Arabidopsis thaliana: one gene and its partners. The protein of the gene in region 2 binds, or shares a complex with, the protein of the main gene of each other region. Each region holds a gene or a part of one and is shown on either strand. Other genes may lie near its edges. The genes, in order: RSZ22a, U2B'', SR45 and U1-70K.

The links.
Region 1: U2B'' (region 2) and RSZ22a share a complex: the UniProt entries of both Arabidopsis thaliana proteins name them as parts of the spliceosome.
Region 3: U2B'' (region 2) and SR45 share a complex: the UniProt entries of both Arabidopsis thaliana proteins name them as parts of the spliceosome.
Region 4: U2B'' (region 2) and U1-70K share a complex: the UniProt entries of both Arabidopsis thaliana proteins name them as parts of the spliceosome.

What each region holds. Positions count from the first base shown.
Region 1 is NC_003071.7:10,446,352-10,453,142, reverse strand, and holds RSZ22a (RNA recognition motif and CCHC-type zinc finger domains containing protein), read right to left. Parts: upstream 3,513-6,791; 5' UTR 3,440-3,512; intron 3,318-3,439; 5' UTR 3,307-3,317; coding exon 3,218-3,306; intron 3,129-3,217; coding exon 3,040-3,128; intron 2,945-3,039; coding exon 2,695-2,944; intron 2,603-2,694; coding exon 2,477-2,602; intron 2,320-2,476; coding exon 2,283-2,319; 3' UTR 1,959-2,282; downstream 1-1,958. Other genes in the region: AT2G24600 (Ankyrin repeat family protein), read left to right, coding at 1-713. UniProt on the Arabidopsis thaliana protein: Probably involved in intron recognition and spliceosome assembly.
Region 2 is NC_003071.7:12,904,845-12,909,674, forward strand, and holds U2B'' (U2 small nuclear ribonucleoprotein B), read right to left. Parts: upstream 2,822-4,830; 5' UTR 2,591-2,821; coding exon 2,518-2,590; intron 2,179-2,517; coding exon 2,006-2,178; intron 1,406-2,005; coding exon 1,312-1,405; intron 1,199-1,311; coding exon 1,110-1,198; coding exon of another isoform or gene 1,050-1,109; exon of another isoform or gene 983-1,049; coding exon 713-982; 3' UTR 501-712; downstream 1-500. Other genes in the region: WRKY25 (WRKY DNA-binding protein 25), read right to left, coding at 9-245; AT2G30270 (LURP-one-like protein (DUF567)), read right to left, coding at 3,183-3,308, 3,601-3,801, 3,992-4,213. UniProt on the Arabidopsis thaliana protein: Involved in nuclear pre-mRNA splicing.
Region 3 is NC_003070.9:5,675,205-5,683,395, reverse strand, and holds SR45 (arginine/serine-rich 45), read left to right. Parts: upstream 1-4,543; 5' UTR 4,544-4,709; coding exon 4,710-4,909; intron 4,910-5,031; coding exon 5,032-5,103; intron 5,104-5,186; coding exon 5,187-5,269; intron 5,270-5,457; coding exon 5,458-5,504; intron 5,505-5,590; coding exon 5,591-5,671; intron 5,672-5,761; coding exon 5,762-5,930; intron 5,931-6,019; coding exon 6,020-6,242; intron 6,243-6,313; coding exon 6,314-6,379; intron 6,380-6,518; coding exon 6,519-6,668; intron 6,669-6,900; coding exon 6,901-6,967; intron 6,968-7,076; coding exon 7,077-7,114; coding exon of another isoform or gene 7,115-7,118; exon of another isoform or gene 7,119-7,209; coding exon of another isoform or gene 7,210-7,219; exon of another isoform or gene 7,220-7,389; coding exon 7,390-7,471; 3' UTR 7,472-7,548; downstream 7,549-8,191. Other genes in the region: AT1G16630 (uncharacterized protein), read left to right, coding at 1-1,184. UniProt on the Arabidopsis thaliana protein: Involved in 5' and 3' splicing site selection of introns, and may bridge the 5' and 3' components of the spliceosome. Isoform 1 is required during flower petal development and isoform 2 is involved in root growth.
Region 4 is NC_003074.8:18,822,916-18,831,299, forward strand, and holds U1-70K (U1 small nuclear ribonucleoprotein-70K), read right to left. Parts: upstream 6,770-8,384; 5' UTR 6,578-6,769; coding exon 6,479-6,577; intron 6,174-6,478; coding exon 6,059-6,173; intron 5,989-6,058; coding exon 5,909-5,988; intron 5,819-5,908; coding exon 5,743-5,818; intron 5,656-5,742; coding exon 5,591-5,655; intron 5,497-5,590; coding exon 5,434-5,496; coding exon of another isoform or gene 5,317-5,433; exon of another isoform or gene 4,525-5,316; coding exon 4,443-4,524; intron 4,345-4,442; coding exon 4,131-4,344; intron 4,051-4,130; coding exon 3,561-4,050; 3' UTR 3,245-3,560; downstream 1-3,244. UniProt on the Arabidopsis thaliana protein: Mediates the splicing of pre-mRNA by binding to the loop I region of U1-snRNA.

The DNA of each region.
Region 1 (6,791 bases), 2.5 Mb from region 2:
AGCTAATCGAAATAAGCACATCAGAGATAGCAGAGAGAAAGAAAAGCAAGAAACATCATGTTAAAAGAGGTCATAAGAGCTTGGAACATGAGATGCATATAGAAGCATTACAAAATGCAAGAAATACGATCGCGATAGTGGCAGTCTTGATTGCTTCAGTTTCTTATGCCGGTGGGATAAACCCGCCGGGCGGTGTTTACCAAGATGGGCCATGGAAAGGGAAATCGCTTGTAGGTAATACGGCAGCATTTAAAGTCTTTGCAATATGTAACAACATTGCATTGTTCACGTCCTTGTGCATTGTTATTCTTCTCGTTAGCATCATACCTTACCAGAGGAAACCCTTGAAGAAATTATTGGTGGCCACTCACAGGATGATGTGGGTTTCTGTAGGGTTTATGGCAACGGCTTATGTTGCGGCATCTTTGGTGACCATACCGCATTTTCCCGGAACTCGATGGTTATTTCCGGTTATTATCTCTGTAGCTGGTGGATCATTGACGGTACTCTTTTCCTATCTAGGAGTTGAGACCATCAGTCACTGGTTTAAGAAGATGAATCGTGTAGGGAGAGGACTACCTATTTATTTTATCAAAAATAACCGTGTAGAAGATATACCTGCCATTGCAAAAAATGAAGGTGAAATGCCTTCCTTAGCAAGGACCAACTCAGACTTGGCCGCCTCAGAAGGGTCAGGCTATTTCACCTATTGAATCTTTAAGGTAAATTTTCTACGAGACTACTCTCTCTGGTGCTCGAGCTTTTACCGTGGTGTTTGCAGCCTATCTTATGGGTTTTGAGTGTCTAAAGTGATTTTCTTGATGAGCTTCTTCTCCTCACAGGGACCGGCACAAGATTTACTTGAAGCAGATTTATATTGCCATTGTATGATGCATCCCTACTTAAGGAGTTTCGTGTAAACTGGTCTCACCTATGTTATCTCTATCATTTAAAGTCCAAAAAGAATGAAAAATGTTGTCAATGATGTTTTACATGTTTTATATCAATACTCAGTACATGTTTCATCAAAAATAACAACTTCAAATCTAGTCACTTGAATAAGTACGAACACAAAATTGCTCGATTCTAGTTGTTAGGAGATATCGTCGTCATCATGTTTAGTTGATTATGATGATAAGTAAAACATATGACAACAAAGTTTTGCTAAATATAAAAAGTGAACAAACTCATGAAGTTGGATATCTGTAAATTATTTTTCATAAAAAATAAGTATTTTCAGGACACAACAAAACAGGACAAAGATAAGAAACTTATGAAAATCTACTCCTTTTACTAGGGTTTTAAACCAAAGCATCATCAGAAGAGGAGGCAGCCAAAAAGCCTTCAATAAAGACAGAATGATCCTTGAATCAAACATGATGAAATTGAAACCAATGAGCAGAAAAATCTCTCGTTTAAAGATTAGTCCATGTACCAAACGTGATGAAACCAAAGGAATGACTATTGCAGATGGCGATAAGTGTTTATCCAAGTGCCCACCTCAAACAAAGCAGAGACGTTCTACATACTCTAAACTATTCTACACCGTAAGACAAGTTTCTTCGAAGCCTGCCTGAAAGGTATTAAATACCTGCCAGAGTAGCAAGTGCAACTCCTCGGCCATTTTAAGTTCAAGAAAAGCAAGACCAGCAATCATCAGAGCCGATGAAGTTTTCAAACATAAGAGCATCTAGATGAGAAGCAGAGTAGATGTGAACTAACATAAAGATCCCAAAGCAGGCCGATCAAAATAACCAAGAAGCCAGAAGCAGTTAAGCAATGAAGCAGAAGTAGTGGTAAACAATTATGAAGATCCCAAAGTAGGCAGATCAAAATAACGAAGAAGCGAGAAGCAGATAAGCAATGAAGCAGAAGTTGTGGTAAACTACTATGAAGATCCCATAGCAGGCCGACCAAATTAACCAAGAAGCCAAAAGCAGATAAGCAATGAAGCAGTAGAAACCTGAAGAAACCTCGAGATGATAGAACAAAAAACAAAGAAAATGCATAGGTTTTTAGCAGAGCTTTTGTTTATGTCTTTTAAGAACATGGGTAGATATTTAAAAGTACTTTACCTAACGGCAGATACAACTATGGCTTCATAATCCAAACGCAATAAGAAGCTTTCCAGCAATTCAAAAGTAGCAAGCATATCCAATCCACCACACAGCTAAAACATATTCTCTTAGTGAAATTCACAGATACTAATTTCCTCTCCTCTTGACGTCACAAGCAAATAGTTGTCTCCTGATCCCATAATTTGCTATCTAGACAAGTAACACTCAGCTCCGGCTTCTGCGCACATCTTTCAGACCATTTCTGCATAAACAAATACAAAAACTTATCAGCCACATGGACTCTGTTTTTTAACACAACGTCTAACAAAAAAGTCTTTGGGACGATAATGCCACTAGTTCAGTTTCAATTTCTTATATTGATTGAGATACAGTAGACTCAAGAGCAAGGGGAGTTTTACCCATTAGCATATGGCACCTCGTCACGTGCTCTATAAGGTGGTGGTGACCTACTGTAGTTGCGACCACGAGGAGAAGGACTACGACGTCTTGGAGGAGGAGGAGATCTAGCACGAGGGCTGTAACTTCTGTGAAACCAAAAGACAAGGTAATAAATCAATGAGGTAGACCAATTTCTTTTAGTTGCAAATCGTCAATCAGAAAGAATAGGGACAATAACCTTCGTCCTCCATAGGTAGGACTCTTTCTGTATCTAGGAGGACTGCGACTACGGCTGCGGCTACGACGCCTACCACCAGAACCACCACGAGAACGACATTCACGTGCAAAGTGACCAGACTCACCACACTCATAGCACTTCAAATCAGAACCACCACGTCCACGACCACCATCACCTCCTCCACGACCACCACCACGACCTCCACCACCACCACGGTTATGAGACTGCTCTACCCTCCATCCATTCTTGCCTACCATAACAATATAGATCATATATATATCAAACTCATAACAACTCATAACAACTCATAAAACCAGACCAGTAGAATAGAAGACCAACGAATACCATCTACTTCACGGATGGCGTCACGGGCATCTCTTGAATCTTCAAAATCAAGAAAAGCGTAACCAGGAGGTCTTCTAGCAACCCAGACACTGCACAGACACCAAAAGAACAATGAGGATAAATGCAAATTCACACACTTTACATCAACTAAAAACCAAAAAGGAGTCAATTTATGTACCTCCTGATCACACCAAAGGAACGAAACTCATCCTCGAGTTCACGTTCAGTAACTCGCGGATCCAAATTACCAACATACACACGCGACATCCTCAAGTTACCTATCAACAAAAGGCTTCAATTCAAAAACTTTGAAAGCGATGAATTCAAAAAGATGAAATCTATAGATCGAAACTACGAATGAATCTGGAGTAAAGAAGTGACAACGGAGATCGGGATTTACCTGAAGAAACGGCTTTGGCTCTTTCTCTTGCTCGTCTGTGAGAAATTAGGGTTATCGATTCGAAATTGAAGATGAAAGTTATTTTTTGTGGGTCAACTTTAAATGTCCTTCAAAAGTTATTCCTTGATTTGGGCTTAAAATGGGCCGCATGCGATATGGTACAGTAACAATAATGCCTCATATTCATGCAATTACTGATTATAAAATTAAAATGTCAGATGTTAAATAATAATAATTCAAAATTAAAAAAAAGCTCTCAGCATATAAAAGGAATTCAAAAAAAAAATGAGTATCACTCTTAAGTATTTATACGATTTTCAAAAAAAGTTGATAAAACTTACCGAAAATACAAAAAAAAAAGAAATTGAAATCTACATAAATCCCCAAAAACTACAACACAACACAAGGAGAAAACACTAAGAAAACACAAGCGAAAACTTCACAAGTAGAGATCCTGAGAAAAACACTGTTTCTAAACCCCAAATTGAAATCTCGTCGTAAATTCAAATTTTAATTAAAAAATATAAAGAAAGCTCTTTTCTATGTCCACTGAATATTTTATGTAAATGAAGAAAGCTCTTTTTATGCTCATACTTTTATGTATATACTAACCCATACATCTCAGATGATGAGGATGAGAGAGGAAAATAAAACTTAAGAGGGAGACTATTTGACCCAAAAAAAAAAAAAAAAAAAAAGAGAGAGACTATTACCTCTAGTTTTTGAACTAAGTGAAGAAAACTATTTCGTTCAAATTTTTATTTATAATAATAATTCACTCATTAAGCATCACAAATTAGACAATAGATGCATCAGCCTATTTGTAGGCCTAACCAATCCTCTACTTTATTCATCGGAATCGATCACTAGATATATAGTCGATAGGCAAACAAAGATATAACCATAAAAACCAATTTTGACACTATTATTTATTTGCGTAATGCTAGTAGGTGTGTACAAATGAACATAATTATGACCATGACAACGGCATGGTAACCACTCATGCCTCGAAGTTCACCTTCTGCTACCAACATATTTCCATCACATCATCCTAGCATTATTAAAGAGGCTAAGATACAACCTTTTAGCTCTTCTAATGCTAATAATCCTAGCATCATCCTAGCATTATTAACTGAGTGCATCTTTAGCTCTTCTAATGCTTTTTCTAGAGAAGAAATGGTTTGAATCACCCTTATTTTACTAATAACATATTTGGGTTTAAGATGAGTTTCTAACTTAAAACCAATTGGCAATGAAACTAATCATTTATAAGTATATTACTTGATAATTTTTCTAATTTTCGAGTGTAACTTTCTCTCATTAACAACTAACCATTCGATTATTTTAAGAACTTTGGTTTTGATACGGTTCAGTTTGGTCAGTTATTAAAATTATTGGGTTTTTTTGCCCATGCCTATATCTCCCAAAATCACAATATTCAAATAAAAACTTTTACCACTTGAACCATGGTTCTAGTTTAGAATGGTTTGTTTGGAAAAGACAATAGAGGCTAAATCGTAATTTTGTGCTTTATCACTTATGAGTTTCACTTTTAAATCAGTCACTTAACAAAAACCGGACGTGACAATATATTATGTCCAGATATTAATTTGGGATTAGCCTATAACATCCAATCATTCCCAAGAGCAATGATATAATTTTGTAGTTTTTTATTTACTATTTAGTGCGCACCTTTCTTGAACCAAGACTCCATTCAGTGACAGGATTAGATAAGTATGTGTGTATTATTGAAATGTCGTCGAGAGTCCACTTGAAGTTTGAACTATGACGACAAGAATTATTCCTTTTCTCTTCTTTCTATTCAGATGGAGAGAAGCTCACCTCAAGATTTTTAAAACGGCACTCAATTACGACTTATTTTGAGAAATAATTAATAAAATTTATAAATTATTACGTGCTCTATTTTATAATTTTTCTCTTTTTTATAGGTTTTAAGACATGAAACACTGCTTCTATGTTTTTTTTTTGGTAATCAACACTGCTTCTATGTTTGGTGAAGACATCTTGCAAATGACATTACATAAATCATAGAAATTAGTTTCGATGTTATTCTAATTAAATCCTAAAATATGGACAAAAAAGAGTGATTCTATTGTTCAAAAAGAAAAAGAAGAGTGATTCTAAAATTATAAGCTAAATATCGATTTTAGAATGTACAAGTTGTTCCTACAAATTGCTAAATATTCTTTTAAGAGTGTCCCATTCATATAAAATGTAAGATTTTTGTTAATAAACTAATAACCAGTGGATAAGGGATTTTGTCTTTTCGAACAAAAACGAATGGTGAGCACTAAGAAAAGAGCGAAGTGACTCTATATTCATTCCACCATATTCCCCAAGAATACAATTGGTCAAGAACTTCACAATCACAAATTCACGATCGCTATGTCATCCTTTTAATATTGCTATCATCCCTCTAATTTACTTTCCATTTTTTAAGATCATGAAATTTGAAATGTCACATATACATCCGTTGTAACTTTTTTCTAGTCAGAAAAAAAAACGACTCGTGTTTACCAATTTGGAACAGAATCACACATTTAGAAGGTAAATTTTGGATCGAAAAAACTTTGCATTTTGTTGAAACTCCCATGCAACTTCACAGTTCCAACAAATATCTTTAGAGATTAATATATAGCATTAGAAAACCAACTAAATTTTGCGAAATTACACATCTAAAATTCGCTTGAGAGACTATTTACTTACCAAAAATCATAGAGATTAACGATATTATTTGTGTATTCACATTATAGGAGATTGAGAGATAATGTTATTAACGTTATTAAACTATTAAATTAACAAAAACGTTTTTGTTCAGCGAACGGGAAGGAAGAGGGAAATAGTTTACGTTACCACTAGTTTATGTTGAAACAGTTTTGGCCGAAAAATAGGCCATCATTACCACTATAGGCCATTCCGAAATAGTTTACGTTGTGAAAGTAATATCGTGCCTTATTTAGTACAAAGTTGCCCACTAAACTTACGAAATCGAATATTCCATAGTTACAAAGGTTAAAAAACATATAAAATCATTTACAACCAAGTCCCAAAGTTTTTGTGCTAGAGAAATATTTATTATTTAGGCTTATTTGGTGGTAGATAACCAAAATTAGGTTTATTTGGTAGATAGCCAGAATTTTGAGGTTTACTTGCAAAATATGATAAATTATAAATAATGAGATGTTAATTTCGCGGATTTTTCTTACAAATAACTTAATAATATAAATATTTTTATTTATTTAAGTGTTAAATAATACAATAATTTTTGTTTTGTTTTTCCGCCTAGTAAATAACGACGTACGTTAAAATATTTAAGAGTTCAGTAAGAAAG
Region 2 (4,830 bases):
TTTATTACGTGTGAGGAGCTGAGAAGCAGAGGAGAATCAAGGTAATCGGAGAAAGTGAAGTTATGAGAAGATTGTGAAATCGGAAGAGGTGGTGGTTGAGCCGTCTTGAACTTAGGTAAACCAGACCCGGTTCTCTCTGGATAGTACCCACCAAAACTCGACCCAGAAACTCTCAAGTCTTCATCATCTTCGTAACAGTCAACGCCGGAAGAACCAAGAAGGTCGGTGAAAGAAGTGGAAGACATGATGGTCTTTAATAAAGGAGACAACTTTAAGATTTCTAAAACAGAGGATTCGCTAAAAAAGGAAACTTTTTTATGAAATTGATCTTGAAATGAAAAAGAGGATAAAACTAAAAAAGAACAGAGGCTTTTAGATTGGGTTAAAGACGACGACGGTGGCGTATTGAGCAAGGTTTTTTTTGTTTCTCTCTCTTCTTGTCTTTTTCTACTTTGGCCTAAATATCATTTTTGATTTTAATATTTCTATAAAATGGTTGACCAGTAAGATATTCTTTTTTGATGAGTCGTCTCCTAATTTGTGATAAATCGTCAAGTGTGAAACCGCGTTTCAAGGGTCTCTTTCAATGATTAAACCAAAACCGGATTAATCCGTTAACCAATAGAACCGTTGGTTGGTTATACACACCAGGTTTGGTTGGTCCAGTACTATCGTCTTAAAGGACAACAAACAAACAAAAACAAGACTCTTATCATTTCTTGGCGAAAGAGATGACCATTGGATTCTGGGGAGTGATTTTGAAACCTTGAAGAGGTTGCATAGCTATGGAAGCTTGAACATCATCTTCGTACTCTACAAACGCGATTCCTGGTTTTGCGTCGATCATTCTTATCTCTTTGAATCCAGGGTACTGTTCGAAGAGAAGCTGTAGCATCATGCTTGTTGTCTCGTGTGGGAGATTCTGAATGAAGAGTATGTTGTTTGGTGGCATTGTTTCTTGCCCGCTCGGCTGGAACGAAGGCTGCATTAAGAAGAGCAGAGATAAAACGCAAAACATCAGCATCATCTCCAGATAACAATAGTTTGGTTCACATGATCCAACAATGGAAGATTTTTCTGAAGATGAAGGTGAGAACAAGAACACTTACCGCAGGGACTCCGTTATTGGCACTTGGACCATTAGCACTTGGGCCATTAGCCGTGTTTGGTCGTTGGGAATCTTCACGCTTTCTTTCAACTGAAAGTAAGAAAGGAAGTTTGTTAACTTTAGATGCAAGTGAAAATTTTATAGTTGTATCATTGAACCAACATCTACGACAAAATGCAAAAAGAAGAAATAAAGTTTAAAACCTTTTTCTTCTTGCTTCCTCTTCTTATCTTTTGGAACGAAAGTTCCCTCAGCTTTAGCTAGACAATCTGACTTTGCTTTTGCATATTGTAAGCGCTGCACTTAAAAGATCACATAAAAAGTATGAATAATAATAAATCTCAACCTGATTGGAAGTAGTTGAATAGTTTACAAACAATCGAAAGAGGTAAGATTTAGTTATAAAAACAATGTATATATCAAACAGAACAAACATTTTGACAACAGAAATCATAAGAGAATGTGATTTGAGAAGGTCAGCAACAAAATCCAAACACACATATAACTAAATGTTGATTGAGAATAACACAGTCAAAGGTAATCATTGGTAATCACATAAACACACTAAGGATTTCTGCTTTTACCGCATCAATCAATCTATACAACACACAGAATATCACTTCCAGGGAAATTATACAGAGATTGATATACTCAAGACAGAAAAGGTAGTGGATACTAATCATTGGTTACTCATCAACAGCAACAAAATCTAAACACATATATGACTACCAATGGATTGGGAATAGAAAAAGGTCAAAGGTTCCAAAACAAATTGTTAGTAATCAATTACACAAACACACTAACGATTTGCTTCTATCGATCTATACAACACATAGAAGATCACTTTCATGGAAACTATAAAGAGATTGATATACTCAAGAGTGATGAAATACTGACCATTGGTTTATCATAGAAGGGAAAATTTTGCATCTGACGAACAGCATGACCAGCAGCAGTGACTTCACTAAAAGTAACCCAAGCTTGTCCTCGGAGCTTCGGAGTCTTCAAAGCAACCACATCAAGTATCCTCCCAAACTGAGAGAACAAACAGTAAAGAGATCTCTTCAATTCTGAGAAAACAAAAACCAAGTCAGATAAAGCATGAGATTGATGATACTGCCCTGAGCCAACACTACTTCACACGTCTATAACAATTATCCATACAATGGCGAAAACAGACAACACCAACATATATATCTTCCTTATAACCTTGTCACTAGATTCAATACGATTCTGAAACCCTAGTATTTAGAAACGAACACTCTATATAAGCTAAAAACAAGCAAAAACCCTAACATTCAGTACTGTAGAAGCTTGAATCATTGGTACAGGAAGTTCATGGAGGTTTCAACATCTAAGAATTTGGAAATTTACTTGACGAATTAGATTAAACGAGAAGAGAAGTTTACCCTCTTTCTTGATCCTTTCGTTGAGGTTTTGGATGTAGATTGATTGATTCGGTGGTATATCTGCCGTTAACATCTTCGAGTGAGCTCGTGAAGACGATGAAGATTCTCGAGACTGAGGAATTTAGAGAGAGCCCTAATGGTGGGAACTGGGAATGAGAGAGACGAAGAAGAGTAAAAGAAATAGCTGCGTTTCAACATCAGACTATTTAACGACGCCGTTTAGTTTGTTGGTTCGATTTCCTAAACTTTTGTACCAACGTGAATGAGCCGACCGGATGGACCGGATTTGAATTTGACCGGCTAGACAGAATTGAACCGGAAATAGAATGAGTGGTCGGGATTGGACTTTTATAGACTCGAGATCAATTTTTTTATTGCAAAATTCCAACAAAAGTCTTGTGAATCATTTTGATTCAAATGTTCAACAACTTTTTAAAATAATGTAAATGATGTTGTATTTTTCCAGCTGAGCTTGCAAATTTGTTCTGAAAAAAGATTTAACCTTAGACCTTAGTATATCTCAATATTCATGTGATAGATAATACAATTCACGTGTGAGCCGATTGAATCAAAAGGCATTAAAAATGCAATGTACTAAAATGCCTTTTTGTTTCTGTGTTACATTTTTCTTTACACTGAGAAAATAAATCGAGGATGTTTCACTTTCATCCTTGAAGAAATATGGCAACCATTGCGACTACTAGTGAATGATCGATGGATCCAGGAAATATCGTTAACCGGAACTTGCTTCTCCCTACGTAAATCTGTCTCAGCTTGTACATCAAACTCGTCTGCCACCACATTTAAAGGAACATAAATCAGATTGAGGCAAATGTTCAAACACAACAACAACAACAAAAATCTTTAAAACAAGTGTATTAGAATCCAAGCAAATTTTACAAGCCTAATGAATCCGACTTCAAATGAACGAAACAAAGGGTTGGTTGTTTATCCATCAGCAAGCATGATCCAAACGATGAGTTTTGAACCCGGTAATCAAAACCAGTATAACACGGTATTGACTCTTGTCTAGCTATAGAATGTTCAATAGTGCTGTAATTGGGAGAAGATGAGTATCTTTACCTGTGCAACAATGGAATCTTGACTATAAATGGTACAAGATTTCTGAAAGGGAACACCTTTGATAACAAGATTTTCGGACGATTCTCCAGCAAAAGAGACCTCTGACTCTGTCTTACTGAATCTTTTCGATGTCCGCTTCACCGTTAGAACCAAATCCTTACGCTTTTCCACATCTCCTTTATGTAATTCCCACACTCCATTCTACATTCCAATACATATACAAAGATCTGTAAGTGTTCTTATGATATATCTCAAGCCAGTGACTAACTAACAAAACCCAAACAATCAAAAAGTATAAACATCGTGTGGACTATGTAATGAATAATGAGATTTAAACAAGTAGCGATGAGAATTGCCAAAATCGATGAAATTTGGGACGAAGGAGGCTTACGTGGAGACGAGAGATGGAGAAGAGAGGAACTCCGGAGGAATCAAGGAGAGATTTCAAGGAGGAAGAAGATTTGCGGAGGATGAAGACGAGATGTTCGGAAGAATCGGCAAATCCGAGATCGCCGGAGGAAAGTCCGGGAAGCTTTTTGGAAGCGAAGAGATCGACTGGTATACGCCGGAGATCCTCAGGGTCGGGGTGATACGGAGTCTCGGAATCAGCCATTTACATAGTCTCTAATAACAGTCAGAAGCGTAAGGTAGAAGAAGAACAAGAGAAGCAGCTTATATTCAACGCCAATGTTTTTTTTTGTTCTAATGATGTCGGATCAGATTTTTTTTTTTGCGGCGAAACATTCTTCTTACACCAAAAAATAATTCAGATGAATAAAATTAAGCAAGTAAATAATTGGATGTAGAAGCCAAAGATAATAAAATAGTAATGATAATTTTCTTTTACGTTCTTGAGATACCAATTCTTGTTTTTTTTTTCACACAAAACTGAAATGCAAAAAAAAAAACTAAAAAGTAATAACACATTTTTTTGATGTTTGATCTTGATTAATAAATTAATAGAAAATGGTAAATGTGTTACTTACATTAGGTTGGAAAAACGTATGGTTTAACATATGTGTTTGTTGGAAAAGATACATTTTTAGTGAACATACCTTTGACATGAATTGATTTATAAAGGTTTTTTTTTTTGCATTTCCATCCCTCTCAAATGTTTGTTTTAAAAAAACTAAGAATTATGTATAATCTTTCAAAATGTATTGATTTTATTTTTTTTTTATGTTTTCTGTAGAATATATATATGATGATCTACTCTGTTCAAAACATCAC
Region 3 (8,191 bases), on a different chromosome or scaffold from region 2:
ATGCTGTTTTCCAGTCAACTAGTGTTGAAATCATTGTTGATGGGTTCATAGTGGATAGCTTAGAAGTGGATATAGAAGAAGTGAATGTTGGTCATCAGGAACCTGAAGAAGAATCGGAAAACAGTGGTGAAATCAGTCTTGAAGCTGTCTACGAAGAAGATGATAATGAAGTCGAGCAGGAGAATGAAGAAGGAAAGGTAAACTTAGAAATTGTTGATGAATGTGATGAGCAGGCTGAGATCAAGATAGCTACAGATACAGAGGTGAACGGAGGTGAAAGGTATTCAGAATCTCTTTCTGAAGAAGGACATGGTGGCCAAGAAACTGATGTTGTTGAAGGGCAGGAAGAATATGAAGAAAATGACCAGAATAACATGGAAGAAGCTGAATCCGACGCACAACTGCTTGACGATGTGCAGTCTGCTGCAATCAGTAGTAACCAGCAAGAACAAACCGGAGTAGCCAATGTTGAAACTGTACAAGAAGAAGAAGGTGTTGGGGAAATTGCTGGAGGTAGCCTCAGTGTTTCAGAAGAAGCTACAGATGTTGAACATGACGGTAATGAAGTAGAAGAAGAAGAGAGTGGGTTTGGTGAAGTTGTTAATGATGCAGGTTCGGAGGACATTTTGTTGAGTGGCCAGAAGAAAGTGTTAGTCTTGTTTTCGACTATGATGGTTATACTTGCAGCAGTAGCAGCTGGTTTCCTATTAGCCAAGAAGAAGACAAAACCTGTGATGCTGCAACATGAAGATGGCGAACCAACAGCAATCTCTGCAACTAAAGTTGTCGAGCATGTGCCAGTAGAGAATCTGATCAGAGAAAGGCTTTCTTCATTGAATTTCAAGGAAGAAGAAGAAGAAGTTGGTGATGACAGAAAAAGAGAGGTATCATCATTCCCTTCTGAGATGAGTTTCAGCTTCAGTAAGAACAAACCATTACACAGCTGCAGCAACAAGAAAGATGATCTTAAAGAACATCAAAGCGGAGGAGGAGGCAAGAAGAGTAATGATAGCGGTGAATCCATGGCTTCCTCTGCATCAGAGTACTCCATAGGTTCTGTTTCATATGGAAGTTTCACAACATATGAGAAGATACAAAAGAGAAGTGGTCACGAAGAGAAAGAGATGATAACACCTGTGAGACGTTCAAGCAGGATCAGGAACCATCAACATTCTGGACAATGAGTTAGAATTAGCTTTTGACTTTATGATCTACTGATTTGTAGGAAGGCTTTTCCATCTCACTGAAGCTTAATTAGTATGTTGCTTTCTTAATTAGTAGGTTTGATTCTCTTCTTTAAAGTTTCTGGCTTTACTATTTGTTTAAGACATTGTACCCCAACCTTGTGGCCTAGTTTTAATAATATTGTTCATGTTATCTGAATCCTCTTCTTTGTATCTTGCAAAAACGATGGACAATTTTCAAACACCATGATTCATGATTGTAAAAGGTTTTGCAAGAATAGGACCAAATGGCGTTGGAAGTGTTTTATGATGATAAATCAGATTAGTTTATATAGATGTAGAAGTGTCAATTGGGCTGTCCAAAGCCCATTGGTCATGTCCACTTGGACCATTTTTTTCATGGGTTTTATTGGTTGGTCTTTAATGGACAATGGTCTAAAAATTTGTCCAAGACCATTAAAGACCATTGTCCAATGGTCAGCCCATGGCCAGCCCATACAATGATGTTTATATACAATGCATTTTCACACAATCTCGTCAAAAGCTCTATTTATAAAACCATAACATCAACATGAAATCAAACATGCATGTACCTGTTCTTCCCAGTCTTGTAATCAACCGTGACAACTCAAACACGCATCTAAGACTCTCTATATGCACCTACAAGTAAAGAAAAAAGCCTACAATGGCTACATGGAGAATGATTTAACAGAGAAACCCATTTCAATACTACTCCAACATCTAGAAATTGGAAACCAGAAGTGGCCATCTTCAATAAGCTTAGGTAAAACAATAAGCTTAAACAACATTTCCACAATGTAATCAATCACAAATGATTATAAGTAAGAGACAAAATCCAGAATCAATTCCAAACCAAAATCTGTCATCCAAGTTGCAACCTTAGACCGGATACCATCACAACCTATAACAATCTGTCAAAGACATACATCATCAAATCAGCCATGTACTGAGAATAATAAACACATAACCATAGGCTCAGAGCTTAAGAGAACAACCATGTACTTGTTTCTTCCCAGTCTTGAAACGTTCATGCAAGGGTGGTGTTTGTGTCCTCTTGACCTTGGATCTCATCAGTTTCTTCAATAAGAAAAACCGAGCTATTAATCTAAAAGCTGCAGTCCAAAAGCCATATAAGTTTACTATTATAAACGAGTTCAAGATGTGAATATTACCAACTTCTTGAAATCCACGAAACCAGTTTCTAGTACATAGGAGGGCTTGCACATTAGTAGGTAAAAGGCAGCTTCTATATTTGTTAAGCACACGACTACCTATACTAAAAGCTGATTCCGATGCCACGGTAGTGATCGGAATGCTTAAGATATCACATGCCATCGATGACAATTCTTTAAAACGCGAGACATTGTTTTTCCAATATGCAATAACATCCATATCTCTAAAAGAGACCATATCTAACACAGGCTCTTCCAAGTACATATCTAATGGTGATTTTCCAGTTCCATTTCTTTCAGAAAAGTAAGAGTAAAACCCCTGAAATATGACCAACAAAACAAAATTCTCACTAAGTATAAGAATGCATTTTCAGAAGCATTATGCTTTAAAATGCTTTGCATAGTATCATTTGCAGAAGCATTATCTACAGTTAAAGTAAAAACTTTCTTCTCAATTCCCCAATCTTTCAACAGCTCACTAAGCTTCATTGCTATAGCTACTCCAGAATGTGGAGGCGGGAAAGCACAGAAAGATAAGATCTTCGTTTTCAGAACACCATCAACATCTACATAATGAGCTGTTAAGCAAATATAACTTTCAACAGTTAAAGCTCTCCACAAATCTGTTGTTAAGCATATTCTACCCGGGATTATAGCTAACTTTTCCTTAAGCTTAATTTTCTCTCTTTCATAAATCTTGTAGACATCAGAAGCTGCAGTATTTCTGCTCCAAAATTCTATATAAGGGTTAGCATATGTAAAGGCTTCTCTAATTCTTTCATATTCGACAAACGAATATGGAAGATTATGTTGAACTAAAGCCACTGCAATCATTTCTCTAAAGACCATCATATCCACCTTTCTGCTAATTCTAGGTGTACTTCCAGGAGTCTTCTCACAAGATCTCATATGACGATTCATGGTATTAGTACCATTTCGTCTCAGATTCAAGTGATAAGTCTGCTCACAATATTTGCATGTAACCTCAGTTTTCCCATTAGGATATTTCTGTCCTCTATCGAAGTTTTTCCAGCATGCAGCACGAAATCTACTTACACTACTTTTACCTCTCTCAGCTGTCCCTGAAGAAGCAGTTTCATGAGGTAGTATCTGATCCATTTCTGGATCTTCATGGTCCATTTCTTGATCCTCAAGATTAAAGTTGTCTTCATCAACCAAGTTTTGAGTATCCAATTCCATATTTCTGAAACAAATAAAGACATACACACGTTTAGCAGTGATAAACAAATAAAGCATGAACTTGACTAAATCACTAGCCTTCTGGAATAATTAAGCATGAACTTACAACACAAAGGGTCTCTACATATTGATGTGCTTCAATTCATAATGAAATTCGAAATGGCGAAACATAAACAAAATCTGAAAAGTGCCCATTTGCTAGCTAGCTCTCCTCATATCCAAAATTCACAATTGAACTTTGGACAAACCCACAAGCTAGTAGAACTAACCGGAGTAGGAGTTGAGAGAGAGGTCGAGCTTGGTCGTCGCCGAGAGAGAGCTTTGTCGCCGGGAGAGAGAGCGTCGTTGCCGAAAGAGAGAGAAGAGAAAAAAATTTATGTGTTGAAAAAATTGATGGGCCAACCATAAACCGTGTGGGCTAGCCCATTAAACCCATGGACAAAATTGGTCTTTAGACCATATAGCCCGTTTTCATTACGGGCCGACCATGGACTGTCCATAATGTTGTGGACTGGGCTTAGCCCATGGTCAGATGACCATTTGACACTTCTATATAGATGTATGAATAAACCTTAATGGTTTCGGTGTTATTCAATGACTAGATTCAATCTAAGATACTTTGATTTTGAGATTGCTCTTAAGTTTGTACCAAGGCAACAACAATATCAACAAATTATGGGACAACAAGAGAGCTATAGAAAAATGGTATCTAATTGATCCTAATTGGATGGTGTACACGACCACAGACAATCGATTACAACATTTTATAAGTTGTTGAATTTTTTATGGGAGTTACTAGCTTTTCTGTTTGAATTTTCCTGTAGGATTTGAAGAACTTTTGATTAGTGACACATTCAAATCTGATATGAAAAATGGGAAAGGACACAAATTGAGCTCATTATGGTATTTATACTTTATAAAATGCTTTAAAAAACATATAAATCCCTCAATTTATCAAGCAAATAAAAACCTGCCACGTATCATCTTCGGTTTAATTTGCAGTCCGCGGAAAAAAAAAGGAGACTGGAAAAAAAAAGTCACAGTCTGTCTGTCTGTCTCTCTCCTCTAATCTTTTTTATCCGCTAGGGTTTTGAAGCAAGGTTTCTCGCGATTTTCTCGATATCTCTCGCCCATGGCGAAACCAAGTCGTGGCCGTCGTTCCCCCTCCGTGTCTGGCTCGTCATCTCGTTCCAGTTCCAGATCTCGTTCGGGTTCGAGCCCCTCCAGGTCTATTTCCCGCTCACGCTCCCGTTCTAGATCGCTCTCTTCATCTTCATCTCCTTCGCGAAGCGTCAGTTCTGGGAGTCGCAGTCCTCCACGTCGTGGAAAAAGGTTAGGGTTTCTTTCAATCACTTACCAATTGTTCGAATTGGATTTGTGTAATTTCGCTTTCATTCTTCTTGGTTCGTTCAGCTCGAATTCGAATTGATGTTCTGATGTATCTTCTTGTGTAGTCCTGCTGGACCTGCTAGGCGAGGTCGCTCTCCTCCTCCTCCACCATCTAAAGGAGCATCTTCACCTTCCAAGTAATATCTGACTCGTTCACATAAATATATTCTAGTGTTTATGCTTTCGTCATTACTGACTTTACAATCTTTTATGCTTTCAGGAAAGCTGTTCAAGAATCTCTTGTTCTCCATGTTGATTCTCTTAGCAGGAATGTGAATGAAGCCCATCTCAAAGAAATCTTTGGTATGTTGATTTCTCTTTTCTCTGTTTCTTCTGCTTCTTCTAATCTTACTACATGATAACTGTCTACACATGTCCGCTAATGTCATCAGTAGTGTATACGGCATTACGATCATCACTGGTCTTTTGTTTTCCTTGTGTTGGCTAAATGTTAAGTCTTATAACATGGCTTGGTTTCATGTTATTATTAGGCAACTTTGGTGAAGTTATACATGTCGAAATTGCGATGGATCGAGCTGTAAGTTGCTATTCTCTTTACTCTCTGTTGTTTACTTGCATCACTTGTTGAAATCTGCTCATAATTCCTTTGAATATTATTAACAGGTTAATCTTCCAAGAGGACATGGTTATGTTGAGTTCAAGGCAAGAGCTGATGCTGAGAAAGCTCAGCTCTACATGGATGGTGTATGTCTCTTTCCAATTATGAAATGCACTGTACTTGACATATTGACAGAGAAGATTTATGCATGTTTTTTTTTTGTTCACTGAACACAGGCCCAAATTGATGGAAAGGTTGTTAAAGCAACGTTCACACTACCACCTCGTCAGAAAGTATCTTCACCCCCTAAACCTGTCTCAGCTGCACCAAAAAGAGATGCTCCAAAATCTGATAATGCTGCTGCTGACGCTGAGAAAGATGGTGGTCCCAGGCGCCCAAGAGAGAGTATGTCAAATCCTTATATTTTGGTTATTTATAATTGTTGTAGTATATGCTTTATGTTGTGTTAATTAGTATCATCAATATGTGCTTAGCATCTCCTCAACGGAAAACAGGGCTTTCTCCGAGAAGGCGATCACCTCTACCTAGGAGAGGCTTATCACCTAGAAGGCGATCACCTGATTCTCCCCATCGCCGGAGGCCGGGCTCTCCTATCCGCCGTCGCGGTGATACACCTCCTAGACGTAGGCCAGCATCACCATCTAGAGGCCGTTCTCCATCTTCTCCCCCTCCAAGACGATATAGATCTCCTCCAAGGTTAGTTATGGCACCATCTGTTTTGTCTGGTGTGTTTCAGATTCGATAGCTCACCTTTTATCTGTCAGCAGGGGCTCCCCTAGAAGAATTCGTGGCAGTCCTGTTCGAAGAAGGTCTCCTCTTCCTCTAAGACGAAGGTATGTCTATTTGGTACCTGAATTACACCCTTAGTAATCGAAGTTTAGGAATCACAGCTTTATAGACTATATTACTCAGTAAATTAGACCGGGAAAAATGTGTCAGTTTTATATATGTTTTGTATTCGGCGTGTTTCAGGTCTCCACCTCCAAGGAGACTACGCAGTCCTCCCAGAAGATCTCCAATCCGTAGGCGTAGCCGATCCCCAATTCGTAGGCCTGGTCGCTCTCGTTCAAGTTCCATCTCACCCCGCAAGTATGTTGGAACTCATTTAAACTTTTTTCTGGGGTCTCTCTCGTGGGTTTTATTTTGTTACAGATGCATAGCTAAGACTGATTCATAACAAGTTTTTAAGTCTTTCATAATTCATGAGTATACCCCAAGATCCTACATTGTCTTATCCTTTTACCTAGGTTTCTGACATACCAGCTCCTAGAGACGTTGATACCCAATATGACTAAGTTATATAGATCCGTCTGGGGTTTGTTCATGAATTAATTTTGTCTTTAACTGTAAGCAGGGGACGAGGTCCAGCTGGGAGACGTGGGAGGTCATCTTCTTACTCTAGTTCACCAAGTCCCAGAAGGGTAAGGGCTTCTTGCAGATCCCTTTTTAGCTATAAAATTTTTGATGCCTTGCGAGTTATATGTCTTGACTCTTGACTTTCTATCATTTGTGCATTATTAAACCTTACAGATTCCTAGGAAGATTTCAAGGAGCCGCAGTCCTAAGAGGTAAACACTTTCTGTCTTAACACTAATCCTCGTCTTAAACTGGAAACACTTTATAGTCTGTAGAATGCATTAATTGAAGAAGTTCCAATGTTAAGTTATGTATAGTAAAGTTAAGGGTTACCCCAATTCCTGATAAAAGACATAGCATAAACATCTGGGACCTATACTTTCTTGGTGAGTTTGGTGATGAAACAGAGAAAAATAGAATTGTTGTGTAGAAATTTTTTGCGTTGAAGTCTAATAAAAGAAAATGGGTTGTTGTTGGGTATGTTTAGGCCACTGAGAGGAAAAAGAAGCAGCAGTAACAGCAGCAGCAGCAGTTCACCGCCACCACCACCTCCACCTCGTAAAACTTAAAGGTGATAAAAATTAAAAAAAAAAAAAAAAAAACTTGAGTCTTGATGTAGCTCTCTTTCTCCATCTTTATCGTTATCATCTGTCTCAGCCTCTTTTCTTAGAACAGATAAAATGTTTACCAGTGACCAAATGAGAGTTGTGGTTTTTGTAGTGTTTGGATGTTTAATCTTCTTTTGTGGATCTCCTCATTAGATGCAACGATAATGACTTGGTTCTTTTAGCTGGTTGTAATTCCCTAATATATTCAGTCTTGTTGAAGAATGGCTGGCTCCTTCACCCTTTTCTTATTATTTTAGTTAAAAGAGAAAGAAATCCATACAAAGACTGGTGATCCAAATACACAAGAAATTGGTTTTTTGTTTCATTCAGAGAAATAAATAATTATAATTTAAGGGCTCCTAAGATGCACAACAACAATTTTGCATCAAACCATGCATCTTAATGAGAGTGCACAAACTTTTATTTAAAACGAAAAATAGAGTTTTCCTCAACTTCACACAGTACATACCACTCAAAGAAAATAAATATACATACCACTCTGCAAGTGCCCATATGGGGAAGATGTTTCTGTAGGTAACATAGTTTAGAAAACAGTTCTTCATGAACACTCCTGTCATTTCCTGCACAACAGAGCAACAACTCTGTTTTTATAATCTAATAAATACACACACCATTCTCTGATCCTGTATGTATTGAATCTTTGGAAGAGAGTGTTGAGGA
Region 4 (8,384 bases), on a different chromosome or scaffold from region 2:
TTTCCATAGTTTTTTTTTTTTTATGTGCACCGTTTCCATAGTTTTCTTCAAATTAGTTTTCTCTAATGTTTTTTTTTTGTCAATTACTAGCATATAATTCGATATATAATTATCTTTTTTGTTGTTGTATGTCTGTTTCATTTGATTCTCTAAACTCGGAAAAAGACAAAGAAAGTGACCAACCAAGTTATAGACCGACTTGATTTAAATGGCGCGATCTAGTGGCGCACGTAGCTAGTATATTAATCTTGGATTCAATTATTTTTGTCGACGATCCATAAATTTGATATGACTTAACAAAAGTCAAATTTTGTTGACTGAACTAAAAGGTTTAGTCGGATCGAGAGAGATAGAGATGGCTAGAAACAAATGGGATCATCACTATCTCTATCAAATCAATGTGACAAAAATCTCAATCATACATATACTTGTTAGGTACGTTTCTTTATTTTAATTCTTGTCTTTGTTCTCTCTAGAGATTAGATCGATTCCAATCACTTTGGCTTTTCTTCGTATCTCTCGAGTTCTCGACCGACAAATATACCTTTAAATTAATGCAACATTTTATTTTTACGATCTCTGTCATATCAGATTCTTCCCTTTTCTCTCCTTCGTGCACACGAATGGATAGTATGTATAAACCAGTTCTCTACCTATCAAAGACAAATTTTGTTTTGGTAAAGCGTAGTTCGTCCAAATATGATATTTTCTTTCGTATTTCAGGATAACAAAACAAGTGGACAATCGACTTACTCAACATGGAATTATTTTACTCTAGTTTAGTTTCTTTTTAACATATTTTTTGTTTGTTTGTTTGGTGTAAAAAAAGAGTAAATCGGAGTAATGAATTTTTGTTTAATATGGTTCAGCCATATTAGAAATTTAAACCAATCACACCCATAATTAAATGATCGAAATAGCAAATGTTATAAGAAAATCGAATAATATAACTAAATAAAAATCTTAACACTAAAATAATGACTTGACCGTCAAAAAATGATAACTGCAATTAGTAGTTTGATAAATTTTATTAGTGATCACCATATTAGATCACATTCAAAATTAAAAAAAAAAATATGTGACGTAAGTTGTAAAATACAAACCAAAAGATACTCTTTGAACATAAATGGGAATCGTGTATATTAGATAACATTAGAAAAAACAGTGAACTCAAAAACTATTCATGTACTCTATGGTAAGTAGCTTCAGTCTATTACCACTCATACTTCTTATGGATGAAATTACTTCATGATCACTTACACATAAATACGATAATGGCAAGTTTAAATCTGATTACAAAAATAGAAATTTAGGTGAAGATATGAAGAAGGGTGCATGGGGGTTCCCCCACATCCACCTGCAAAAGTTATGATTGCATTTCAATCATTGCCCACGAGCGCAACCAACACGTCGCTCTCTTTCCCTTCAATTTCATTTTTTTATTTCATCTCTATCGGTTTTACTTTGCTCGATATATAAGTTTATATGTATTACAAATTTCTCATGCTTTGAATCATATCGTCCCACTACTTTTTGGAATTAGTCATTGCTCACAATGTTTGACTCTTTTCCTTCTATTCTTTTTGTCTTTACCTTCTCCGTTTCAGAAAGGGTTTTGCTAGTTATGCTAAATGAATGATTAAATCGAAATGATACGGCTAGATTTTTTCTTTTCTACTTCGAAATTTTTCTTGTAGGCTTTTTAAAAATGGAAAATTGTATAATTTCTGAAAATTGTATTGAGCTAACAATTTTTATGGAATGATTTGCGATAAAGCACATCACAATGCAGAGTTTATTTTGCGTATAATATATAATTTTACACTAGTTGTTTGCATGAAAGTATATATTTTCTTGAGATTTTCTTTTCCCGCAGTAACCATTTACTCGCTCTTTATAGACAAAACATAATTATGTAATTAGCAAAACAAAACATAATTATGTGGAGAAAAAACCTAAGAAATGGAAAGAGGAGGCTAAACTTAAGATAAAGCCCCATGAAGCAAATGATTTTGAAGTAAAAGAAACAAAAGTTATGTGTATGTTTGGTTAATGGCAAACATTAGTAAGACAAATTCTAGATTGTTTATAAAGAAACAATTTAAAATCATGGCTTGCATTTGACTGTAGTAAAAAAAGACTTTACAAACTACAATATACATAAATAAACGACAAGCATTATTATAATCAAAAGAAGAAAAAAAAGTTGAGAAAGAAGAGAAGAGAAGAGTGTTGAGTTGTTGCTTGTTGGATCCTCTTTAAGTTTTCGCATGGGGTTAACATTATAGCAAATTCTCCTTTTACTTTCGGCTCTGGTCCCTTTCCAGATTTCATTTTTGTTATTATCATAATTAGTGTTTTTATCCACCGATCTTATTCTTATATTTTATTTGTCATTGTTTTTTATAAGCATTTCTGAGATATAAAGCCAGTTGGGCTGAGATGTGTTAGCGATTGTTACGTACTGCTCATGAATGTGGATGGGTCATTAAACCAAAAAAAATAAAAAAATGTTGATGGGTCGTCACTCAAATATTCAAATTCATCTTATGTGTTGTTACTTGCTATTTTCTTTCATCATAAGCAAATTTTTGTTTGAACGTTGCCTAATATTGCTTACAAAGAAAATGAAAGATGTGTAAACATTCATATGTATATTATATTATATGTCTACACATTAATGACGTTTTAAAAGAAAATCCACATGTTAATACATAAATTATTCGGTCTCTAGATGTATGAAAATGGCATTGACACTCCCAAAAGAAAAGAGAAACATTCAAAGCGCTAACATTGAGTAACTACGTCAATCAGAACGATCATTAACCAAACAAAAGTGTAAAGATCTAAGAAATCATATGGCTTGCTTTTTATATTTAGAAATAATTGCAAATCTATTTTACAATTCCATCACGAATACGACCCCTGAGCATGTGTCCCAACCTAAGTAACAAGAGTCGTGTTGTATTTGTATATAATAATAATTCTAAAAATAGATACAGATATGTGTATATAAAATACTCAAACGTACGAAGTGTTTGACCTTGGATTTTAGTAATGTTTTCTAGCAAATGTGAAACCAAAATATTCAACAATAATGTCATAATGAAAACCATTAACAAATTCCATTGTCGTCCAGCGGTTAGGATATCTGGCTTTCACCCAGGAGACCCGGGTTCGATTCCCGGCAATGGAGCCTTTTTTTTCCTCAAATTATCTCAAAAATTCACGACTATCAATATATCCTCTCTCTAAACATATCAATCTATTATATGCTAAATAAAATAACATTTCAATCATGTTTTCACCAATAAGTTTAATAATTGACCGTTTCTAGGCACATAAATCATCACATGTATAGTAGTACTGCATAAGAAATAATCAATAAAACATCACAACTTTAAAGTTGGTTTGATTTTGATTAATAATATGACAAACTTCAAAAGAGAAAAAATAGCAATCAAGTTCAGAGGTAACAAACAGAATTGCATCAAGTTTTGATTTAGAATAAACAAAAAGGATTCTTAAGTTTTTAGAGTTTTAAACAGCCGAATGAAACATCAACGAACATACTCTCGCGATTCTGATCTCTTAGACCGCTTGTACTCACGTTCATATCTGAAGTCATCTTCCTCCATTTTATCGTAGCGATGACTGTACCGGTCTGTGTCCCCTTGATCGTCTTCATAGTAGCCACGAGTTTCTTCTGGCTCGCCACGGTACTCTGCATCTCTCTCACGGGACCGACCACCACCCTCATGCTCATATTCACCTCCTTCATAATCCCGCTCCTTCTTTCTACTGCGGTCTCGGTCATGATCCCTTGAAGTACGATCCCGTCCCCTGTCACGGTCACGGCGGTCTCTGTCTCCTCTGTCACGGGTCCGGTCACGATCACGTCTGCTGTCCCTATCCCTGTCTCTGCCTCCTTGGTCTCGGTCTCTGTGGTGCTTATCCTCTCTCGGTCTGTCACGAGACCTCTCTCGAGGTTGTTCGTGAGACAGCTCACGAGACCTTTCCCTTTCTTTTCCCTTTTCCCGAGATTTCTCACTGGAGACAAGGTAACAACATTATCAGCACAATATTAGTCACAAGGCAAAAGAGTTTGGTACGAATGAAAATATCTTTACCGCTCTTCCCGTGGTCTCGATGGCTCCTCTGACTGGGAGGTTCTTCCTTGCGGTTGTTGTTCCCCAACAATTTCTTCACCACCACCCACTCTTGAGGTCCCAAGTCCACCACCAAGCCTGCGTGGACGCCAGTTTGGGACGGTTCTACCTCTCTCCACATCAACCAAAACTCTTCTGCCGTCAATCTTTTGTCCATCAGCTTGCTTATATGCAGCTGTAGGAAGAGTAGCAAAACACAATGCAACATCAGTATAAAGAGCAAACATCTCAGGGAGATAAAAGAGGGTTGAAAGAAAAGAGATGTGAGGGCACCTTTCATGTCACGGGTGTGCATGTACTCAATGAAAGCATATCCTTTGGGTTTATTGGTCAGCTGATCAGTCACCAAATGAACCTGAGAAGTTTCAGAAGAAGACAATTAACAAATCAAATCTGTGAGAACAAAATCAGATTCAAGATAAAAGTGTTTCATATCAAACAAACATGCAGCTCTATAAGGCAGGCAACCTTTATGTTGTGTCCAAATCCGAGAATGTCACCACCCACATCAAGAATTGGCAGAAAAATGGATGTATTGCAGCAAAATTACCATTTTTGAAGAGTCTAATAAACCACCCCTTACCAGGGTATAGAAACTTAGATAACTAAAAATGTATTAAAAAGTGAACCAGATCACCTTCATAGTAGCCCAAGTCCCAGATACTGAATATATATAGATGTTAAGATAGGAAAAGAGAGAAGGGTTTTCGATAATCCAACCTTGGTTGCTTGAAAATAAAGCATTTGAATGGCTTTGGGATATGGGCAGATAATATTTTATAAGTTGCTTACCAGCAGGATGAGTTGAGCTCATTATAGATTCAGAAAACAACTAATTGATTAGGTAAACCGTGTGCCTATAACCACTATATGATATATCATTGTAAAAGTATTTGCTCTCTGAAGGGACAAGGAAATAAAAATACCAGGCCAAATTTACCGAAAACATCTCAAACAAACACCATGGAGAGAGGAGCTGTGTCATTATATGAGAAGCACTTATGCATCTATATATTCAGTTATTGAGAAAGGTCTAAGAGACTTGATGGCTTTACACAGTCTAAAGAAGGCATGCAAAACAAAGCAAATGTAGAATGGCCTTTTGGTCTAGCAGAAAAGATGCAAATTTATAAGGGACTGAAAAATTCTAACCTTGGAAGACTTTTGTAGATAAAATAAAACAAATTGAGCAAAGAGCTCTAGAGAGGGAAGCCATTACACAAATTCTTACCGAACCAGCAAGGGAATGCTCAGAATAACCTACCCGTTTAATTGGTCCATAAGATTCAAACTCCCTTTTAATCTTACTCTCTGAGGATTCGTAGTTCTGCAAGACAAGAACAGACCAAAGTTAAGCACAACATAACTCAGATGTCTAACAAAAGTCATTCAACAGTAAGAAAAAAAGAAACACAGCTTACAAGTCTTGAAACGAACAATGTCTTGTATGGATCTCCAGTAGCATTTGGATCATTATTGGGGTCATCTGCATATAAAAAAAAAACAAATTAACTAAGAATTCTCAAACCTAAGAGGGCATTAAAAGGAACACAAATAACATATAGTAGATTACATTTCTTTAAGTCCTCAGCAGCCTTTTCAACACCTTTCTCCAGTCGCAATTTATGAATTCTTTCCCTTTTCTGCGACTGGACAATGAAACAAAACAAAGCTATAAGCCACTGATTTAGGGTTAAAATATGGCAATAATCGAAAGAGTTAAAGGTGCATCATCATACAGGTAATTCAACTTCTGGCTTAGGTGGAGCGTATTCTGGATCCCCAGGCTCAGCAAAGTTACTTACAAACTGAGCCATACCTATATTCAATACACAAGACAAAATCAAATCCAAAGCAAAGAAAACATAATCAGATATACAAGTTGATACCTGTATAAGGCGGGCACTTTCTCTTCTCTGGTGGTGGTTTGTACTCCAATGGCGGACGTGGCTCAAAAAGCTTCAAGAGATTGTTTGTTAAGCCAGTAGGGTGGCTCTGACCCATCTGCATATCAGATAGATCCATTATATCAGCTTTAAAGCAACAAGATATCAATCAAACTGATTCAAAACTATAAAACAAGCTCAAGAATCAAGACCAATATAATCAAATCATATGACCTAAAATCGGAATCTCAATTCAATTTAGAACTAGCTGATGAGTGTTACAACGCAATCGAAAATAGAACCGAAGCAAGTATCAAACGACTTAAGAGTATTCCAATTCATTAGCTAGAAACCTAATAGACAACGAAACTAAAATCTAGAGAGTAATCACGAATTCAGCGAATTTAGAGAGAAGAGACGAACCAGCTTAAGCTGAAGAACATTGGCTCTGTTCTGAACTTTAGCGCGAGCTTGAACAGCGGCGTTTGGATTACGCAAGAAAGGATCGCCGGAGTCTCCCATGGCGACAAAAGGGATCTCGGAGCTGTGCTAGGGTTTTTCGTGAGGAAGCGGATGGAGGATTTTTGCAGAGAGAAGAAGCAAAACTAACAAAACCCAAATTCAATCTCTAACCGGATTCTGATTATTAAGAAAACCGAGTTGAGATCCAACAGATCACGATACGTAAAACGATGCCGTGCTCGTATATCTCGGTCACACTTTAACCCACTCGCTGAACAAGAGGGTTATCAGCTTCAATTACCTTTTTTTTTGGATTTTACAATTTTTTGTTAACATGTCAAATTATTGGTTTTGTAGGCATTCGTTGATCTTTGGCTCCCATATTTTTCTAAAATCCATTAACAAAAAACATAATTAAAATAGATTCCAATTTTATTTATTTTTACAATAACAGGCTCTAAATTTTTAAATATTTTAAAGTAACCATAATAAGAAAAATTAAGCATTTCCAAATGACCATCACTGATTCACTTCCATAGGATGTGGCTCTCCATCCAATGATTTTGTTAAGTATGATGGAACCGAGGTTGGAGATCTATTGAACTTGACGGGCACACCTTTTACCATTGGTCTCGTGCGCTAACAGCGTAATTGTTGTTGGTTGCAACATCAAAGCCTTTTGAGAAAAAATGAGCCAAGAATAGTTGGTTGCGTCTCCATTTGTGCACTACAGCACCAGAAGCGAGAATGGATAAAAAAAGGTTGCAATGGCTATAGATGCTGCAGAAAGAAAGAACCTTATGTGATCGGGCATGTAACTGGTCTCTTAGTATACAAGGGGATAGTAGAAACACAACAATAGGCGAGGGTGCAAAGTGGCAATTTTAACAGACGAGTTTGACATATACCCTTCCTCAAAAATTAGTGATACTCGATGGATTTATGCGATGAAACGTACGATAGTCCACCTACAATGGTCAATTCAAACTGTGAATCTCTCATCTGTCGGGTGCTCACATCACCGTTGCAAGTGCCATATATAACCTGACGGATTATGAGTACGAGATTGGATATTCAGTTTGTGCATGTTCCAGTGGTTACAATGTAACCCATAAGATCTTTTAGGTGGATGCAAAGTGAGAAACTGACTCGTTCTGTTTTCTTGTATTGTGGAAAATGCTTGCTTATTATAATTATGTGGTTTTTCATCTACAGATATGGACGAGTGTAGAATACTCAACAATAATGGACGTCACAAATATTGTTGCGAAGGTAGCATGTGTGTTAACACTCGGGGAGGGTACCATTGCGTGTTCCACAAGAAGAAGACGTTGCCAATTATCATAGATTCATAGGTATGCAATTTTATCATTCAGATTTATGTATTCATATAATGGGACTGATGACTCCCCTTGGTAACTGCGTTTGGCCATCGTAGTAGAAATTGTTGGAGCCTTGTCGCACCTGAACTTAGGCGCCTTATTGGGGATATATGTTATCCGATTAGGATTAGTACAATATCTTTGATGATAGAGTTTCTAACCTATATTTTAGGGATTTATGTTTATCTCTTGATAGAGATCATTGTATATAAATACCATAGTTTGTGAATCAATAAAATCAAGTCAGTTCAATACCTTATTCTACATGGTATCAGAGCAGTCGATCTTTGTGGATCATAATTAAAGCTTCCGCATTATAGATTTTGTAATCAAGAAAAGATTATGAAGATGGTGATCACTGAAGGAGAAGACGGTGCCTCCGACGGTGGAAATGAAAACGACGAAGATGTCGGCATGTTAAGGGATGGAGGTTACGTGATTGTTTCTTAATCACATGGGTATTATTTTTCCAAAACTTTAAGTCG